Mus musculus: one gene and its partner. The protein of the gene in region 1 binds, or shares a complex with, the protein of each later gene. Links are inferred from orthologs where the notes say so. Each region holds a gene or a part of one and is shown on either strand. Other genes may lie near its edges.

The links. Proteins that work in one complex are often made in the same cells at the same time.
Region 2: Erc1 (region 1) and Ppfibp1 share a complex: the UniProt entries of both Homo sapiens proteins name them as parts of the cortical microtubule stabilization complex. The link is inferred for Mus musculus from reciprocal best matches to the Homo sapiens genes ERC1 and PPFIBP1.

The regions. Positions count from the first base shown.
Region 1 is NC_000072.6:119,750,531-119,754,166, forward strand, and holds part of Erc1 (ELKS/Rab6-interacting/CAST family member 1), read right to left. Parts: intron 2,867-3,636; coding exon 2,729-2,866; intron 811-2,728; coding exon 670-810; intron 1-669. UniProt on the Homo sapiens protein: Regulatory subunit of the IKK complex. Probably recruits IkappaBalpha/NFKBIA to the complex. May be involved in the organization of the cytomatrix at the nerve terminals active zone (CAZ) which regulates neurotransmitter release.
Region 2 is NC_000072.6:147,020,958-147,024,593, reverse strand, and holds part of Ppfibp1 (liprin-beta-1), read right to left. Parts: intron 3,294-3,636; coding exon 3,143-3,293; intron 2,449-3,142; coding exon 2,337-2,448; intron 2,233-2,336; coding exon 2,144-2,232; intron 1-2,143. UniProt on the Homo sapiens protein: May regulate the disassembly of focal adhesions. Did not bind receptor-like tyrosine phosphatases type 2A.

The DNA of each region.
Region 1 (3,636 bases):
CAGACCTACTGGATTTGTCATTACACAACATTGAACTTTGTAGCTACTTAAGTGATTCTGATAGGATTATTAAAAAATAAGAACAAAACTCACGAAGTGAATCAAGTTATAGGCTATGATGTTTCTAATAGTGGTTCTGATTAGATTTCCTCCTTTTCTGTCACCTTCCTTACTGTTAGCAGTGTTTCTCCAAATGTAACTGGGCTTCAGCCATTCTAGGATCTGCATATAGATTGGGATCCCATAAGAAACCCACTCTTGGGCTGCAGAGATGGCTCAGAGGTTAAGAGCACTGACTACTCTTCCAGAGGTCCTGAGTTCAAATCCCAGCAACCACATGGTGGTTTACAACCCTCTGTAATGGGATCTGATGCTCTCTTTTGGTGTGTCTGAAGACAGTTGCAATGTACTCATATACATAAAATAAATAAATAATACTAATTTAAAAAAAACTAAAAAGGAAGAAGAAGAAGAAAGAAACCAACTCTTAGAACGGAGAACAAGGCAGTAAAAGAGTATGAAATAAATGAGCCAATCTTCTGTAGCCCTCACAGCTTCCTGAGTCCCTGGAACACCTGCCACAGGACACTAAGAAAATCTTTCCTCCGTGCTGCACTGTGCAGCCAGCAACAGATATAAACATGCAACGACTAATTTGGTGAGCCTCACCTCCTTTTCTGAGAGGTCTCCTTGTAGCAGGCTGACTTTCTCTCTCAGGTCTTTGAGGTCTTTTTTGTAGGTATCAATCTCCTCCTGCTTCTCCCGCTCATCCCTGTCCCGCTGCTCCTTTAAGCGTTCAATTGTCCGTTCCTAAAAGAAAGCACACCAAGACATGAGGATGCTCCCATCTGTACTTACATCGTGAACATGCTCTGATTCCTCTGACAAACTCAACACTACTATCATCTATCAAAAAGACAATGGTAAGCCCTTCAAGGATTCAGTTCTCAAAGAACTCATTTTTCCTACTGCAACCAGTAATTTCCAACTTTGCTTATTTTTAAATACCAAGAGTCAGTTTCTAATCATTTGAAATATCATTAGATAGCACTAACACATTCTCTTGAAACATTTTCATTAAAATTCAATTTCCAAATAACTAGAAACTTATGTGTATGTCCCTAGGACAATAAAATAACACATATTTCTTCACTATAATAATAGTGACACAGACTACCTATAAAACAATAGGAATTACTCATAACCCATATATCAAAAGTAGGGGGAGCTAGGATAAACTGATCTTAGATAAGAGGATAGAGAAGTGATAGAAAATTTTAAACTTCTACTCAGGAAGCGTGAAGGCTAAAGCAATTTAAGTATAGTTCTGGGTAATGTTTCTAAACATACTCAGAGAACATGCATTCATCCTAGCAAGCAGATCAAAGCATTCTGAGTCCAAAAGACCTAACAAATGTTGCCTTATGCCTCTAAAAAAAATCCAATTAAATATCTCAAAGAAAGTACAGCATCATGAGATAACCTTTTAATGCCAACACTTGGGACTTGGAGGTGGGAGAATCAAGAGTTAAAGGCCACCCTGTGTGTAATGGCTAGTGTTGGCTGCCAACTTGACTACATCTGGAATTAACTAAAACCCAAATGGCTGGGCACATCTAGCTCTCTTTTCCTACTTGTTCTCACTCTCACTAGCAAGTCCATTTCTTCTTCAGGATTCTGGCATATACTGAAGACCACCTGAAACATTCAGCATTGTGGACTGAAAACCACCAGATTCTTGGACCTTCCACTGGTAGACCCTCATTGTTGAACCACAGCCTGTACGCCACTCTAATAAAACCTCATTATATAGATGGATGATATATAGATATATAGATATAGACAGACAGATGGATGATAGATTTATTCATCACTTGTTCCTCTACAGAACCTGACTAAGACACGGAGCTACATAGCGAGCCTGAGGCTAGCCTAAGCCACATGAGACCTCATCACAAAACAATACCCCCTCCAAAATGAACAATAAGAAACAAAAAAAAAAAACACCATAAAGAGATTCTCTAAAATACATTCTCACCACTTTTTCATTCCTTAAAATGTCAAGTATGCTCATAAAGATAAAACAATGTAATATGAGCCAAAGTGCTAGAGAGATGGGTCAGTGGTTAAGGGCACTGACCACTCTTCCAGAGGACTCAGGTTCAGTTCCCAGCATCCACCTGGCAGCTCACAACTGTCTCCAACTCCAGTACCAGGGGATCCAATGCCCTCTCTGGCCTTTGGGGCACAAGGTACACATGTGATGGTCAGACACAAATACAAGCAAAATTTAAAAATTATTTTAGGAGTAAGCCAATGCTAGAAAATGAGTACATATGTAACATTCATGAATAAAATTTATGAATATGTCATATGGTGGGAAGGCAACAGAGCAGAGCTAGTCTGGTATAACACCCTGATGATCAATGTCGAATCTCCTGCACATCTAGCTAATCAAATAATGAATTTTTGTTTCCTTTAGAAAGCAGAAAAATAGGACACACGTGCTGAATCTTGAGGAAATGTGGCTATGGTCTTTTGGTGTACAACCAATCTTGCCCAGAAGTTGGTGCTAAGATCTAAGAGTAACTAGACTGTCTTTCCACTTTATACTATGCACAGCAGCATGGAAGCTCCTATGAAAGGATTGCCTCTGTAGTTATAGCCAATTCTAGGATAATGAGAAAACAGAACACAAGGTCTGGGAAGAGTCAGGCCAGTCACTTACTTTATCTGCAAGAGCCTCCTCCAAAGTTGTCAGAGCTGTGTCTGTGTTAGTGGTGTCCGCCTGCAGAGACTTGACTCGCTCTTTCAAGCTGCTCATCTGCTTTTCTTTATCTCTTAGTTGTTCCTGAAGATTTTCTATCTAAATATACATATACATTTAAGGGAGAAAAAAAAAACATTAAAAAGGGTACAAATAGGCACAATAAAAATTATTTAAGACATAAACAAATTATGATGTGGGTATGTATATGTGTTCTCTGTAGAAATAATTTAAACTTAATTGTTTCAAAATTATATGCTGAACCCTACAGCAGCCAAAATTTTGTACCACCACAAAGAAAAAACAAACATCCAATGAACAGATAGGCAAATCCCTAGGTAAGTTTTGAGGCACAAAGTTTCAATGTTAAGTCAGAATGCTGAGAGGGACTGCAATGGATCCATAAGAAACACAATCACTTCTAAGATGCCATTGTGTACAGCAAACTGAAGGACAAAGAATCACACAGAAAACCAAATTACTTGTATAAAGAAAAAACTGTCTTTGTATGTTAGTGTTTACAACTGTTTTATACACTTACACAACAAGTATTAATACAACGAGTATTTTCAGTGAAACTTCTTGCTGTGTTCATTCATTTCTTCTCACACACTTAAATGCATTCATTTTCTCAAAAGAATTATGTATTTCTCCTACCCAAGAACTAACCTGACTCTGACACATTCAGAGTCCTATGTCAGTAGACAATTACTAATTTCCTTACAATATGCCAGGCACTGAGAATACTAAGAAAAATGAAGAGGCCACTTCTACTATATGACATGAGAAGAGAGAAAGAGTGGCCCATTATGAAACTGAACGTGAGTAAAGATGAGCTTACTGGCCTACTGAGGAACAGACTCTGAATT
Region 2 (3,636 bases), about 27 Mb from region 1:
AAATGTGTACTGTTTCCAATATAAATAAAATGTTAATTACTTCTGAAATATATTTGAAAGATTTCTTTTTTACAAGGATTACTTTCATTTGAAACCCTTTTTAAGTCTGGGCATTCTGGCGCACGCCTTTAATCCCAGCAATAGGGCAGCAGAGACAGGCAGATCTCTGTGAGTTTGAGGCCAGCCTGGGCTATATAGAGAGTTCCAGGACAGCCAGAGCTACACAGTGAGATCTTATTTTTTAAAAATAGCAAATAAATAAACACATGGTTTATTTTAAAATGATTTTAGACTTAGGGGCTTCTAGACAGTGTAGAATTCTGTGTTTCATAGTTTCTCCTGATATTCACATCTTATGAAACTATGGCACACATCAAAATTAAGAAACACAAATAAAATTAGTATAGACTCTATTCAGCTTTTGCCAATTTTAAGGCTTATTGTTTTCATTAGTTCATGTGTATGGTGTGTGTGGAGGAAAACACACACACACCAAGCTCTGTTCTCCTCTCCTCTTCTTCCTCCTCCTCTTCTTCTTCCTCTCTTCCCCTCTGTCTGTCTGTCTGTCTTCCCCCCATGCACCAAGTTCACACATATGTACAAAGCTCTCTCTCACACAATCACAAACATCAAGCTCTTCTCACTCTCATATACACACACATATCAAGCTCACATGTACACCATTCTCACTCCCCCCCTCACACACACACACACACACACACACACACACACACACACACACACACACAGAGGTCAGGGGACAACTCTGTGGCCCCAGTCCTCACCTTCCACCTTGGCATGGGTCACAGGAATAGAACTCATGCTGTCAAGCTAGCAAGGCAAGCACTTTTATCTGTTTGGCCATCTCACTGGCTCCCAAACTGTTTTTTTACTTCCTGTTTTTTGCCAGTTTCCTACTAAGATCCTTTTTCTGTTCCTGGAGCCAACCCAGGGAACCAGATCCTAACAGGGACTTTCCTTTTAGGAATCACAGGTCACTCTTTCCAGTGTCACTCCATGTCTTTCAGGCATGCAGGTCTTACAAGTGCTTCCTGTGACTTTTGAGTTGAGGTTGCTCACATTCCCTCGGGACATCTGACCCCATGGACGTGGGCAGAAGCAGGTCAAATGTCACTGTATTTGTCCCAGGTGGAATAGTGCGCTATGCAAAGAAGGACCTGGAACCAGCCTAGGTTCAAATTCTCTATGGCTTCCTGCTACTTAGTAACCATGGACAACTGGTTACATTCCCCAACTTCTCAGCTCCTTGTCTCTTAGTCTCAAGAATGGAGATGTAATAGTATTAAAGGGTTACTGAGAATCCATAAATGTGGTTCTTAAAAAAGACAGCGGCTATAAACTATGCCAAGCTCATTATGGTCACTCATGCAAGGTTACATGATGTCCCCGCCAAGCTTGCAAGTACTTTGGCTCAATGATAAAAGAATACAAATCCCATGAACTCAGCTCCAAGTTCCTTTCACAATGAAAAAAAAAATATGGAATTAGCAGGTTAAACTTTCCCCTTACTTAACAAAGAAAACACCTATGGGGCTCCCTACCTGACAACGTGTTCTTTAAATAAAAGGATCTTCTATAAAACATTAATCACACTGTGGAATCCAGAACAAGGCTCTCCTGGCAGCCATCTCCCCTGCTGTTATACATAAGGAACAGTCTTCCTACGGTCTTCCTACGCTGGCTGGAAGCCTGAAAACACCCAGTAGAGAAGGGAGCAGTGCAGGTTCAGCCTCCCGCCTCCTCTAACCCCGCAGCCCCTGCCCTCGGGACTGATGTGAAGAGGATTTCAGGGAGCAGCCGTGCGAAGGAAGGCAAGGGAGGAGGCTGGTCCTTGTGCACACCAGGGCAAACTAGAGCTTCGTAACTCTGGAACGCGTGATGTAGAAATGACCAGGGCTTCAACCCTTTCTATCTAGTAGCAATTCTGTGACAGAACTCACACACCATAAAAACGCAAACATCCACGTGTACACTTCAGAACTCACCTTGTTGACTACCTCAGTCCTCTAGATAGCTTAGGCTAAATATAGTTTTGCCTGGCTTAAGTTTCTAATTATCTCAGAGCTGTACCAACTGTTACAACATCACTTCACAGGAAACACCCCAACAGAGATCTACTAACCACAGTCATGTAGTGCAGCATTCGACCGTCCACCCGCCCTTCATCAAACTGGGTCTTGTACTGAGGGAGGCCAATATCATCCAGCCATCCTAAAGGAGAAAAGCCAGTGCCGTTATCAAGCTATGAACTTGCCTAACTGTCAAGGAGAAAATATGACAATGTTTATTCTTCTTCATGCATAAAGGCCTCTTACTAGTAACCCAGTTGAAGTCTAGCTTCCCATAGTTGGTTTCTTCTTCAGATCCCAGGGCCTGCAGGGCCAGCTGGAGCTTCTTACGATGCAGTGAATGCTTGATGCCAAGTTCCTGAAACAATAAACAGAGCCTTAGAATTTTGTCCATCAGGGTTGGATCCACCAGCAAAGAACCCTCCACCAGGAAGCTTCCCTTCAAGACCAGCCCTGCATTGAGTTAGAACACTACCTCAGGCTAATAACCCAGTCTATATTGAATTATAGTATGAACCTCAGGCCAGGACAGCATTGCTGAAGAAAAGGCCCAAGTCTACCACAATGGGCTCAGTGGGATGTTAGACACTGCCTAAATAAATTCATTTTATTTGTAAGAAAGAAACTGTTGAATGCATAATGGGATTTGACTTCTATTTTGTGTACAGTGTTTGAGAATTACAACATAAAATATATAAAGTATTCCTTTGTGAAGTTGAATTGCATATATTATATTAAAAAGATATGTCAATGTGTGTTTACAAAATGAGTGAGATGTATGAACTGTATCCATTTTATGAAGTCTATTCACTATAGCACCTATATAATTACATAAGCTAATGCTTTTCATTACGGGTTCCACTCAGCCGGCTCTGTTTCAGGATGATAAAGGATCAATACTACATCAAGACTCTGGCTGAGGGTAGGTGTTGCTGGGGATTGAACCTTGGGCTCTCACACGTCAGACAAGCGCACTACCCCTGAGCTGCATTTCCAGCTATACATGCGCACCCCCCTCTTCTTATTACGTACAGGAGAATGGGAACAGTTACCTTCTCCAGATCCTGCTGAGAAGCCTGCAAAAGGGTCTGGCCAGATATAATCCAGTGCTTGCCAGAACTCAGGTAGGACCCCAAGCCTTGCTCTGCCAGCCAGCTACACACCTGCTCCTTGGTCCATTTGGCAAATGGCATATCCAGGTCACTGTAGGAAATGAGAAACAGCCCAGTCTTGCAGCGTATAGTCAGTACTGAGCAACTGTGCATACAATCAATATGGAAATTCCCTGGCAACAAACATTTAACCAAGAAAAACCTAATTTTCAGTTCGAGATTGGAAAGTTACTTTCTAAAATCCCTGTTTTCAATTCAAAAGAAATTGTGGAAGAACCAACAGGAGTTACTGAGAACACTTTCTACAGAAAAACACCAAGATGAGCTATGTGCGGATCAGCTGCACTCAGAGCCGTTGTACAACTGCTCCACTAAAGACCCTACAGTCTTTAGTGGCCTCCCAGGAGATCTACTGCAGCCAGGGCAACAGATCA